Linked DNA regions of Macaca mulatta. The protein of the gene in region 1 purifies or fractionates together with the protein of each later gene. This does not show direct contact. Links are inferred from orthologs where the notes say so. Each region holds a gene or a part of one and is shown in the gene's direction. Other genes may lie near its edges. The genes, in order: AFG2B and TIMM13.

The links.
Region 2: the proteins of AFG2B (region 1) and TIMM13 purify together in Homo sapiens (co-immunoprecipitation; 3 studies listed by BioGRID and IntAct, with this or other methods). This does not show direct contact. The link is inferred for Macaca mulatta from reciprocal best matches to the Homo sapiens genes AFG2B and TIMM13.

Annotation. Positions count from the first base shown.
Region 1 is NC_133412.1:22,721,199-22,728,045, forward strand, and holds part of AFG2B (ATPase family gene 2 protein homolog B), read left to right. Parts: intron 1-3,750; coding exon 3,751-3,909; intron 3,910-6,847. UniProt on the Homo sapiens protein: ATP-dependent chaperone part of the 55LCC heterohexameric ATPase complex which is chromatin-associated and promotes replisome proteostasis to maintain replication fork progression and genome stability.
Region 2 is NC_133424.1:3,171,366-3,177,977, reverse strand, and holds TIMM13 (mitochondrial import inner membrane translocase subunit Tim13), read left to right. Parts: upstream 1-2,638; 5' UTR 2,639-2,823; coding exon 2,824-2,943; intron 2,944-3,031; coding exon 3,032-3,100; intron 3,101-3,308; coding exon 3,309-3,407; 3' UTR 3,408-4,032; downstream 4,033-6,612. Other genes in the region: TMPRSS9 (transmembrane protease serine 9), read right to left, coding at 4,277-4,438, 4,881-5,017, 5,104-5,369, 6,061-6,229. UniProt on the Homo sapiens protein: Mitochondrial intermembrane chaperone that participates in the import and insertion of some multi-pass transmembrane proteins into the mitochondrial inner membrane.

The DNA of each region.
Region 1 (6,847 bases):
AAAGGTGTGAGAATACATGTCTTTTGAGGGAGACAATAAAAGTAAGCAGGAGATGGGAAGGGAGATTTTCATTTAGGATTTCCTCTGCTTTGAAGTTCCAGGTTTGACCGTAAGCACCTCTGACTTAGGTGGCCCAGTCAGCTGCTGTTGTCCCAGGGTGGAGCCCACTGCTACTTCAGGAGGGGCCTGCTCAGGTGTAGTTACCACAGTTGATGGCTGAGTTCAGAAACAACCAAGGGGAAGTGGAAGGAAGAAAGGCAAAAAGGATGAAGGGACAGAGACAACTGGGAAGGTACTGGCTCCGTCTTTTATTCTTTCCCCCACCAGCTGAGGGGCTTCCCCTACCTCTACCTATGCCAGGGCAGATAAGGGATACCTTACAGTTTGTTAAACTTTTTGTGAACTATTCCTATTAAAGGATTAGAAATGTAGTTTAACACTCACACATACACAGAGGGGAAAGAATGTATATGCCCAAAGAATCAAGTAAAATAATGTGTACACACATGATCTGGAACTATAAATGAGATTTTCAAATACTAGTTGGTGTTACCTAAAGATTAGTTAGTATTTGGACATCAGACACCTAACATCTGATACTGTCAGCCAGTTAAAAAGGCTATTTTTTTAAGTATGTGATAGTGTTATTCATGAGAAATGAAGATAGAAAATTATAAAGAACTGCCTACCTGAAATGTCACTTTCCAGAGATGACAATTGTTAACACTTTTGGGAGAATACGGAATAGCTCTATACATACAGATTCACTTCACATCAGTTCACAAATAAGACAAGACAGTTTGTTTATGAAAATGGGAATCTGTGGACAACTAGATGTTTAGAATTAGATATAAGAGGGCAAATACTTTAATAAATACAGTACAGACATTTTTAATAAAATTTTGAGGACTTTTTAACTAACAAAAATGTGTTTCACTAGAATGATCAAGGAGAGTGTAAAAAGTCTCCAAAATATAAGCTGAGAGTGAAGATGACTTTTCTAGGCATAACATAAACCCTAAGGGAAATTATTTGCTGATTTGACCATTTGGGGGTGGCAAACAATACTATAAAGTCAGACTAGGAAAAATACTTTTAGTCCAATTTCTGTGATTTGGAAAGAACTTTTACAAATCAGTGAGAATAGACCAACAGTCCAAGAGAAAATGGGTAATAGGATATGAACAGGTAGTTGACAATAAAAGGAATGTCAGTAAACACGAAAAATCTTCAACCTTGATTTCTTTTAAAATTATTGTCTTTATTTTGAAATAATTTAAAACATATAGTAAAGTTGCAAGATAGTTACAAAGAACTTCCACTAAACCTTTTATCCAAATTCACCAATTTTTAACATTTTGCCAAATAAGCTTTATCATTCTCTTTTGCTGTCTTTCTTGCTCCCTCTCGTCCTCTTCTCTTTCTCTCTCTCATCTCTGTATATATATATTTATATGCACATAGTATTTATTTATTTTGGACCATTTGAGAGAATGGGTTGCATATATCATAACATTTTATCCCTTAACATTTTAATGTCTATTTCCTAAGGACAGCAATGTTCCTGTATGTCACCACAGTATGGTCATGTATAGTATTGTATCCTTAGAGCCTCACATGTGGAGGCACAAGGTGTTCATTGGTTCCTCATTGGTGATGCTAATTTTTGTCAGCTAGTTCAGGTGGTGTGCAGTTTCTCCACTGTGTAACTGCTGTTTTTTCCCTTTGCCACTAATGAGAAATCTATGGGGAGACACTTGGAGATATCCTGCTCCTCATCAAACTTTCAGGCTGGGCGCAGTGGCTTATGCCTGTAGTCCCAGCTGCTCGGGAGGCTGAGACAGGAGGATCACTTGAACCCAGGTGTTCGAGGCTCAGTGAGCTGTTGCCTCAATGCCACTGCATTCCAGCCTGGGCAGCAGAGCAAGACCCTGTCTCATAAAAGAATAAACTCCCCTCAATGTAGCATCCAATTCTTGCTCATAACAGCCTTTAATATCATGATTGCAAAAAAGGCAATTTTTCTAATTCCAGTATTCCCTCTACCTCATTCTGAATTGAAGAAATTTAGTTAACACACTAATGAATGAGTACTGGTTCTTCTGTCATATTGGCAGACACTTAAGAGTTTGGTAATTGGCCAGGCACAGTAGCTCGTGTCTATAATCCCAGTACTTTGGGAGGCTGAGATAGGTGGGTCACTTGAGGTCAGGAGTTCAAGACCAGCCTGGCCAACATGGGAAAACCCCATCTCTACTAAAAATACAAAAATTAGCCAGGTGTGGTGGCGCATGCCTGTAAATCCCAGCTACTTGGTAGGCTGAGGCATGAGAATCACTTGAACCCAGGAGGTGGAGGCTGCAGGGAGCCAAGATCACAGCACTGCACTCCAGCCTGAGTGACAGAACGAGACTCCGCAAAAAAAAAAAAAAAAAAGAGAGAGAGAGAGTTTGTTAATGTCCAGTATTGGAGAGGTGTGGAGAGAACACAGCTTCATTTTATTGAAGGAGAGTAAATTGATACAGCTTCCTTAGAGAACAATTTGGTAATAGCTGTCAATGTATATGTGTGTACTTATAAACCCAGTAATTCTACTTTGAGGAAATTATTACATAAAATACTTGAACATGAGTTTGAACATAGTGGCTCATGCCTGTAATCCCAGGACTTTGGGAGGCTGAGATGGGAGGATTGCCCGAGCCCACGAGTTCCAGACCAGCCTGGGCAACATAGGGAGACCCCGTCTGTACCCAAAAAAAAAAATTTTATTTTTTGGCCAGGCGTGGTGGTTCACGCCTGTAATACAGCACTTTGGGAGGCTGAGGCGGGCGGATCACGAGGTCAGGAGATCGAGACCATTCTGGCTAACACGGTAAAACCTTAACTCTACTAAAAATACAAAAAATTAGCCAGGCGTGGTGGTGGGTGCCTGTAGTCCCAGCTACCCAGGAGGCTGAGGCAGGAGAATGGCGTGAACCCAGGAGGCAGAGCTTGCAGTGAGCCGAGATTGCACCACTGCACTCCAGCCTGGGCAACAGAGCGAGACTCCGTCTCAAAAAAAAAAAAATTAATTAATTAACCAGGCTTGGTGGCACACACCTGTAGTTCTAGCTCCTCCAGAGGGTGAGTTGCAAGGATTACTTGAGCCTGGGAGACTGCAGTGAGCTATGATAATGTCACTGCATTCCAGCCTGGGCAACAGAGTGAGACCCTGTCTCAAACAAATACTTGAACATGAGCAAGGAGACTTTTTCAGTTGCAGCTTTGTTTTTAATATCAAAAGACTGGGGATGACCTAATGTTTGTCAGAAAGGTGTAGTTGGGGTAAATTCAGTAGTGTATTATGGAATTGTCAAAAAGAATGACGTAGAACTATATTAGTTGACATGAAAAGATATATATTAGTTGACATGAAAAGAACTATATTAGTTGACATGAAAAGGTGAAAGAAGAAAAGTACAGGTTGATATAGTATGGTTCTATTTGTGTATCTGTTTAAAAGGATATTTGTATGCTTATTATCATAACATACTGGAAGAATCACAAGAAACTGTTGACATCTTTCAGGGAAGAATTAACTGGCGGGAATTGGCAGGGAGACATTTATTCTTTGTACTATTTATATAAATTGTTTTTATAATAATAACAAAATTACAAATCCAAAAGAAGATTTAAAAAACGAATTGTGCTATAAAAAAAGACCAACCTAATTTTTGGTTTAATTTTGATGTTTTGGGTGTATTTCTTCAGAACCAGGACGATCCTGTGATTGATGAAACAGACTTCCTTGAAGCTTTTAAAAATATTCAACCCTCATCGTTTCGAAGCGTCATTGGATTGATGGATATCAAGCCTGTTGACTGGGAGCAGATTGGTGGCCTTGAAGATGTAAAACTGAAGTTAAAACAGGTAAGACAGATAATCTACTTAATCCAGTAGGATATTACAGATTAACATTCTGTGCATTTATGATGACAACATACTGCACTGAAACTACTCTTTCTGCTATCACTAATGTGATCCTAACATCTAAATCCAATGATTGCTTTTCAGTCCTTATTTAACTGGACTTCTATGGATGTCTAAATTGGTTTTTATAATTTCCCACCTCGACCCTCTCTTTTTTTGTTTTTGCTTTAAAGAGTTTATAACCTAAGGCTGGGTGTGGTGGCTCATGTCTATAATCCCAACACTTTGGGAGGCCAAGGGAGGAGGATTGCTTGAGTTCAGGAGTTCAAAACCAGCCTGGGCAACATAGCAAGCCCTTGTCTCTATTTAAAAAGAAAGAAGTTCATGGCCGGGCGCGGTGGCTCAAGCCTGTAATCCCAGCACTTTGGGAGGCCGAGACGGGCGGATCATGAGGTCAGGAGATCAAGACCATCCTGGCTGACACGGTGAAACCCCATCTCTACTAAAAAATACAAAAAACTAGCCGGGCGAGGTGGCGGGCGCCTGTAGTCCCAGATACTCGGGAGGCTGAGGCAGGAGAATGGCGTGAACCCGGGATGTGGAGCTTGCAGTGAGCCGAGATCTGGCCACTGCACTCCAGCCTGGGCGGCAGAGCGAGACTCCGTCTCAAAAAAAAAAAAAAAAAAAAAAAAAAAAAGAAGAAGTTCATAACCTAAGGCTGGGCATGGTAACTCATACCTGTAATCCCAGCATTTTGGGAGGCTGAGGCGGGTGGATCACCTGAGGTCAGGAGTTCAAGACCAGCCTGGCCAACATGGTGAAACCTTGTCTCTACTAAAAATACAAAAATTAGCTGGGCATGCTGGCAGGTGCCCATAATGCCAGCTACTTGGGAGGCTGAAGCAGGAGAATCACTTGAACCTGGGAGGCGGAGGTTGCAGTGAGCCGAGATCCCACCACTGTACTTCAGCCTGGGTGACAGAGAAAGACCCTGTCTGGGGAGAAAAAAACAAAGTGTGTAACCTGTAGTCTTAGCACTTCAGAAGGTCGAGACAGGAGGATCTCTTGAGGCCAAGAATTCAAGACCAGACTGGGCAACATAGTAAGACTCCCTGTCTCTACAAAAAAAATTTTTTTTGAGACATGGTTGCTCTGTCACCCATGCTAGAGTATGGTGTCACAAACACAGCTCACTGTACCCTTGAATTCCTGGGCTCAAGCAGTCCTTCTGCCTCAGCCCCCCAAGTAGCTGGGACTGCAGGTGCATACCACCACGCCTGGCTAATTTTTAAATTTTTTGTAGAGATAGGGTCCCACTGTGCTACTCAAGCTGGCCTTGAACTCCTGGGCTTAAACAGTCCTCCAACTCGGCCTTCTAAAGTGCTAGGATTATAGGCATGAGCCACCATGCCTGGCCTACAAAAAAATTTTTTAAATTAGCCAGGTGTGGTGGCACTGCTTGTGTTCCTAGCTACTCAGGAGGATCACTTGAGCCTTGACCCCAGGAGATGGAGGCTGCAGTGAGCTATGATTGCACCACTGCACTGCAGCTTGGGCAACAGAGTGAGATCCTGTGTCTTTAAAAAAATATAAAAAAAAATTTTGGCTGGGCACGGTGGCTCATGCCTGTAATCCCAGCACTTTGGGAGGCTGAGGCAGGCAGATCACCTGAGGTCAGGAGTTAGAAACCAGCCTGGCTAACGTGGAGAAACCCCGTTTCTACTAAAAATGCAAAAAATTAGCCAGGCATGGTGGCGCGTGTCTCTAATCCCAGCTACTCGGGAGGCTGAGGCAGGAGAATTGCTTGAACCCGGGAGGTGTAGGTTGCAGTGAGCCAAGATTGCACCACTGCACTCCAACTTGGGCAACAAAAGTGAAACTCCATCTCAAAAAAACAAAAACAATGTATAGGCCGGGCGCAGTGGCTCACACCTATAATCCCAGCACTTTGGGAGGCTGAGGCGGGAGGATCACGAAGTCAGGAGTTCAAGACCAGCGTGGCTAACATGATGAAACCCTGTCTCTACTAAAAATACAAAAATCAGCCTGGTGTGGTGACGCAATCCTGTAATCCCAGCTACTCGGGAGGCTGAGGCAGGAGAATCGCTTGAACCCAAGAGGCAGAGGTTGCAGTGAGCTGAGATCGCACCACTGCACTCCAGCCTAGGACAGAGTAAGACTCCATCTCAAAAAAAAAAAAAAGAAAAATCAATTTATAATCTAAAACGGGTCAGCAAATTTTCTGTAGAGAGAGCCACACAGTAAATGTTTTAAACTTCACAACCACTCATCTCTGCCATTGTAGCACCAAAGCAGCTGTAGACCATATGTAAATGAGTAACTGTATTCTGATAAAATTATGGACACTGAAATTATATAATTCTCACATGTCAGAAAATATTCTTTTGATTTTTCTTCAAGCATTTAAAAATGTAAAAATTCTTCTTAGTTTGGCTGTACCAAATATAGGTGGAAGGCCTTAGTTTGCCTGGATATCTGATCTAAAAGACATTAAATGGACGTAGTACAGGGACTGGTAAAAGCACAAAATTGAAATGAACAAGATGGTTACCTGATAGTGGATTTCACAACTCCAGATCGCAACTCTTCAGATCCTCTCACCTGCATTACAGTTTCAGAAATTGATTTTGCCAATTCGCCTACATGTGATCCTGCCCTAATGAACTAGGTTTCTCTAACCACACACATAACAGACTGATATATAAGTAATAATTATAATTTTTTCATCTTAGCCAGGAGCTCTATCTCCAGTGAACCCTAGAATTTTTGAGTCCATGGATAAGAGCATTTATAATAGGTGCCAATATTTTTTATGCATTGTCTTATTTAATCTTTACAAGATGCATGAGAGAAATTAGCCACACCTTCCTCTTGGAAGCACTCTGTTTCCTTTGCTTTGAGACATTAAGCTTTTCTG
Region 2 (6,612 bases), on another chromosome or scaffold:
GCTGTGGAGCCCCTCCCGGGTTCCGGCTCCTTCTGCCCTGTGCCTAGATACACACACGCATCTATCTATCCATACTGTAACTTTCATCTGTGATTCTCTCGCTGAAGCCATGTTTCTCAGATAGGCCAAGGCCACCTGACTCCTATCACGACGCCCCCAAGCCCCTCAGTCCAGCTTCCCAACGCCTGGCACCCCCTTTGGCAATAGCTCACCGTTTACACCCTCCCTCATAGATACACAGAAGTTATTTTTTTAATGGATATTTATTTTTTTACATTAGTCAGTACGCAGGTCAGGAGCTCACGCCAGGGCCTTGAGGACAGGCTGACTCTCCTCCCCGGGGTGGTGTGGGACTGGGGGTCACTCTGACAGCAAAGCCTCCTTCAGAAAGTGCAGCTCGAGTCTTAAAGCCACCAAAACTGAGCCGTTGGCACGCGCCGTCTCCAGGCCTTGGCAGGTTGGGGGCGGCACTGCTCCCCTGTCACTGTGCATCCCGTCTCCCTGGGGACTTGCCAGTGGGAGGAAGGAATGGGGGTCCCCAGCCCCAGGCCGGGAAGTAGCCAGCGGCTGACAAAGCAGAAACACCCGCTGCTCCATGTAGCCCCCGCTCGCTGTCCTTGCTCTCAGAAGTCCCTGTCCCGGCTGGGCGCGGTGGCTCACGCCTGTAATCCCAGCACTTTGGGAGGCCGAGACGGGCGGATCACGAGGTCAGGAGATCGAGACCATTCTGGCTAACACGGTGAAACCCCGTCTCTACTAAAAAATACAAAAAACTAGCCGGGCGAGGCGGCGGGCGCCTGTAGTCCCAGCTACTCGGGAGGCTGAGGCAGGAGAATGGCGTGAACCCGGGAGGCGGAGCTTGCAGTGAGCTGAGATCCGGCCACTGCACTCCAGCCTGGGCCACAGAGCGAGACTCCGTCTCAAAAAAAAAAAAAAAAAAAAAAAAAGAAGTCCCTGTCCCATGTGGATCAAGGGGGGCGTGTCTTACCAAAGCATTTCCTCCTGGAGGGGCCCGACAGGCTACCACGCTGTGCTCCCAGTCAGGTGGCTGGTGGGGAGCTTTGCCCACCCCAGGGATACCCTCTGCCAGCCGCTGGAAGTGGGAGTGCTGGCGACAGACTCCTCTTCCCCACCTTCATGGCAGGAGTCACCTGGACTCCAGTGGCCAGGCTTCGTGCCAGCGAGTGTTCCGGGGGTGGGTCTTGGTGGTCTTGTCCTGTGCAGAGTATGCAGTGGTCTCAGCCACATCCTACGTATTTTGGGCCTGGGGGAGCAAAGCTGTATCCTGGAGTTGGTCTGCAATTTGCTGACAGCTTCACAGGCTGGGCTCAGGGACAAAGTCCCCCCCCCAAAACCGGCAGGTCCTGGTGTCCAGACACTGCCCAGCCCTGTCCTGAACACAGCACGCCCCAGGTCCACAGAACCCCCCGCCCTACATTTGCCTTGGGTGGAGGCTGAGGGTGGTCCTAGGACTGCAGGTGCCCTTAGCTGAAGGGAGTGGGGAGAGGTGTGGACTGTGCATCCTGTGGGTGATTGGAGGTTCATTGAGAATTGAGTCTTTGGAAACACTAAGAAAATCAAAGTTTTAGAAGTTATTTATGGCCTGGGAAACAATTTGCATTTGTCCCCAAATACGCTTAGCTGTGTGCCGCTTAGAACGATGCGAAACCATCCCTCTGTGTAAGCCCATGCTGTGACTCCAAGCCTAGCGCCCTCCCTGCGAAGCATCAGACGCCGCCCAGCCCTGGGGGGAGGCCCACGGCTGCTGGACCAACGCGGGTTCTGGGGTGCACAGCCCAAGGTTAACGCGGAAGCCTGCCCCGCTGAGCCCAGGAGCCAGGAGGCCTGCGGGCTGACCCAGAATCCGATCATGCACCTGTCCTCATGCCAGCGGCTTTGGCTGGGGTTGGTCTGAGGCCTGCACGGGGCAGTTCCTTGTTAAAGATCCAAGGGACTCAGTCCTGGGGCGTCGCCGCCTGCAGCGTCTTCCAAGCCCTGCGTCCAGCGAGCGTCACAGCACAACCTGCAAACGGAGCTGGGCTGTAGCCTTGGGGCTGGCATGGACTTTCATTTCCGAGATTCGGTTTTTAAGAAGATGCATGCCAAATGTGGTGTTCTTTTTTTTTTTTTTTTCCAATGATTTGTAATATACATTTTATGACTGGAAACTTTTGTACAACACTCCAATAAACATTTTGATTTTAGGTTCTGTCTCTTGAGTTTATTCCTGCGCGGGGAAGCTCGAGCCGGGGCCTCTGTCCCCAATGAAGCGGATGTCTAAAACCCTCCACCCTCAAGGAAAAGGTGACTGGCGAGTATACACAGGCCCCAGGTGATGCATGAGACCCTGCCCGTTTTTTCTAGTGAGCCTCCGACGCTGTAGCACCAGTGGACTCTTCATCATTCATCATGTGATGAGACCGGGCTCCGCCCCGGCAGCAACACGTCATATAGACGCGCCGGCTGCCTCGTGCGCATGCGCGGCAGGCCTCTGGGTGGGACGAGCCGGAGACCGATCCTGTGTACAAAGTGATCGGCTTCGGCCGCACGCAGTGGCCCCCCCCACTCCCCGGGCGAAGTCGGCCGCCTTCCCGCAGAGTCGCAACCACGGCTTCTGTAGGTAACGGCAGGTCCAGGCCGGCGCGTGACCAGAGGGCCCCCCGCGCGACCTGGAATGGCCCGGGCGCGCGCGGTCTTGTGGGAGTTGTAGTCTTCCGTCCCCGCCCACGTGGACTCCGTTTCCCGTGGTGCCCCGGGAGGCCCGCTTCCGGCGCAGCTACGGGTCGGCGCACGCGGCCTCGGTCCGGTTGACTTTGCGGAGCCATGGAGGGCGGCTTCGGCTCCGATTTCGGGGGCTCCAGCAGCGGAAAGCTGGACCCAGGGCTCATAATGGAGCAGGTGAAGGTGCAGATCGCCGTGGCCAACGCGCAGGAGCTGCTGCAGGTGCGGGGCCGGCCGGGGACGGGCGCTGGGGCGACAGGGCCACCCCTGGGGGCGGACGTCGCGGCTAAAGCTTCGCGTGTCTCCACAGAGGATGACGGACAAGTGTTTCCGGAAGTGTATCGGGAAACCTGGGGGCTCTCTGGACAACTCCGAGCAGGTGAGACCCGCAGAGGTTCGGGGCAAGGGTCGCGAGGGTCTGGATTCGGGGGGGAGGCGTCTGCGCGTGCGCAGACTAACGAGGCGGCGCGGCGGAGTGGCTACCGCACGCGTGCACTCTGCAGCCCGGGCGGCCTGCATCCGGGGTGAGGGAGGTCCCCGGGGGCGCGAGGTCCCGAGCTGAGCCGTGCGCCCCTCCGGTCCCGCAGAAGTGCATCGCTATGTGCATGGACCGCTACATGGACGCCTGGAACACCGTGTCCCGCGCCTACAACTCGCGGCTGCAGCGGGAACGAGCCAACATGTGACTGGCAAGCCCGTGGGCCGCCCCGCCCCGTTCATTTCCACAAACGTGCTCTGAGAGGCGGGGCCCGCATGTGCGTACTGCCTGCCCGGGGCTTAGCGGGGTGGCACCGGTGCTGGGACAGACGGGACTGTGTCCTCGCCACCCCCCGCCTTGCCCCCTGCCAGCCAGTGCAGCTTGGATCTCGGGGGTGGGGGGGCCCTGTGCCTTCCCAAAGTGCTGGCAGCCCAGTGGCACCTCCTTCAGGCCTTTGGGGTCTTCCCCTAGTGGGCCCAGGTCAGCCTCATATTTTTTGGGCGGAGAACTCTTGTCTGGACTTTGGAGGTGGGGGTGGTCAGACCCCACCGGAGCTGTCACCTCCTGCGGATGGGCAAATAAATTGGTGGAGGGCGGAGAGAAACCTCTTTATTTCCCTCCTGAGGGATCTCTGGGAAGAGTTGACGCGTGTCCCTGGAACCCCAGTTCGGAGGGTCTCAGCCTCTCCTGGGTTGGGAGAAGTCCATCTTTCCCCTTAAGTGCCACCGGGCTGCTGAGTCACGAGGAATGTGTTGTTGCCACCACCCCTGTCCCAAAGGCTAAGGGGGACAGCCCTCCCCTTGTCCAGGCTTGCTTTGACTCCTCTTCCTTCCACCCGGGTCCTGTTGGAGCGCCAGGCAGGTGGTCCGCGCTGTGACACTGAGGTGCTGAGCCAGTGAGCCGGGGTGGAGCAGTTGTGTTTATTGGAACAAAGGGTGCTACCAAAATGCATCCCCATGACCCACAGCCCCCCCCCCACTCCCGTCCTTGGGTAGGGTACAGTGAGGTGGGGTGTTGGGTGGCCTGCTGCTCCTGCTGCTTTCTCCTAGAGTCCCGGCCTGGGCAATCACGTGGCGGTCACTCCTGGATGTGCTGTCCTATCCAGCCTCTCACAGCTGCCACCCGGGTATAGACACCTGGGAAGTGGGGCCGGCCGCAGCCATAGCCCCAGCTGGTGACCCCAGTTAGCACCCATCGTCCAGACGGCTCCCTGCAGGCCAGGGGTCCCCCAGCGTCACCCTGATGGGGAGAGAAGCGGGGGTTCAGAGTCTGGTACCTCCCCTACAGCAGCCCTTGGGTCATTGGCCCCCGTAGGGGTGACCGTAGTGAGTGGCTTCCCTTGGAAGCTGCATTTTCACTATCTGGAAAATGGGCTCAATGCAAAGGTGGCAGACATTGATGGACACCCGCCACGTGGTCCCGGAGTGGAATGGGGCCTCCCGCTGCAGCCTCTGCCTGCTCTGCCGTTGAGGCCCAGGGGTGGGATGCGGTGGGTACCCAATAAACGGTTGTGGAGTGGAAATTCCTCCAGAGCCAAAAAGGCCCCCTGCCTGATCCTCTGGAGAAGTCTGCACCGGAGCGTGGCGCCCGGACGGTGGGCTTCGTGGCAGCGGGAACCCTCCCTCCCCGGCGGCTGGGCGGGACCTGGGCCCCTGGTCGCCCAGGCCGGGCCGAGGCTCACCGAGCAGCTGTCCACGCCGCCCTGCGGGAAGCCGGCACACAGCATGCGGCTGCTGATCTGCACCGGGTAGAAGCGGCGGCAGGTCTGCTCGCTGAGGAGGCGCACGGCCGCCTTCTGCAGCTGCCGCGCCATGGAGCCTGCGGACGAGCGAGATGGGGCGGGTGGGGACCCCTTCCGGCTGCTGCCCTGCACCCCGCACCACCCCGGCCCCGGGCGCGCCTACCTCCTTCGCGCACCGAGCCCCAGCCGGTGATGACGCAGCGCGCACCGTCTGGGGGTCGCGGCACGGGCTCGGGCAGGCAGATGGGACGCACCAGGCGGCTGCGGCGCACCGGCCCCGCCAGCTCCAGCAGCGCCACGTCGTAGTCGAGCGTGTAGAGATTGTAGAACGGGTGCTTGTAGATGCGCGCCACGCGCTCCAGCTGCCCCTCCGCGCCGCTCAGGAACGGCGTGCCTAGGAAGGCTGCCCACTGCTTGGGGTCCCCGTAGCTGGAGGGCGCGCGAGGACAGGCGTCGGCCAGAGCCCCCGCGCCCCCGGCCCCTGCCCCTGCGGTGTCCCCCAGGGGCCGACCAGGGTTCTTGGCCTCTTGGTCTCTGGCTGCCAGTCTGGGAATGGGCTCAGTGTCCCCCACCAGGCACCGAGGCAGCACCAAGGATTGCAGTCATCACCACCTAATATTAGCGCTCTGAAAATACTGGTGGACGTGAGGGTCCGCCCCCCGCTCCCCTTCTGACCTCGAGCCCCGCAGGGCCCGGAGCTGGGTGTCCCCTCTGGAATACCGTACCCCTCTCCTGCCAGGGCTTGGGCCCTGGGGAGGACAGCTTTCTACTGGGCGGGCTTTGCGGGGGCTGGAGCTAAGTGCCAGGGGCGAGGGCTGGGGAAAGAAGTGACCCCAATGTCCCCGTGGGCTTGGCCTGGAGCTGGGAGGGGCTGCAGCCCCCGGGTTAGGTGGGGACCGCGGGGTAGGACAACCCAGGTGGTCAGGCTGAGGGGGGGGTGGGCAGGGGAGGGCTGCAGGGAGTGGGGATGGGGGTGGGAGGAGCAGCCTGGGGCAGTGGGAGCGGGGGTCGGGGAGGGCACTCCGGCAAAAGAGGGTGTCACCGTGCGTTTTCGGGCAACAGTTCGGTTCCGGGTGAGCTACAGACACGTGCAGGGGCATTTGGAGCGTTTGGGACTCACACGTCGAAGCAGTGCGCCGCCGACAGCAGCCACCTCTCTGCCACCAGCACGGCCCCACAGCGGTGTTCCCGGCGCCGCAGCCACAGGCTCACCTGCCACGGCCACTCCCCGCGGCCCGCTGCGCTGCCGCCCACAATCCTGCTGAGCGCCGCCGGCGCCAGGCCGCAGTCTGTGGGGGGAGCCAGGCGCATGGGCGGGTGGACCCAGGGCGCCTCCTCCAGGAAGCCCCCCAGGGCGCCGCCCCTCCGCGAATCCCCCTGGGAGCCTCGGATGCGAGGGCGGACCTGCCCCAGGAAAACTCGGCAGGAAAGGATGCTGGGCCTGCTGCTTGGTCTTTGGGCTTTTCTCAAATAACATTGGAAATGCATTTGTGTCCTGTGACTTCAGCTTTGGGAAGACACCTTCTCCCCGAAAGCCCCTCTCATGGCAGCCTCCCACATCTCCGTCCTCCAGGAGTTCCCTCCCACCCCAAGGCCTTTGCACATACCAGGGCCCTGACCCAGAGGCCCCGGCCCTGCCTTGGCACTCTGCCTGGATCCCTGATGGCCTCCG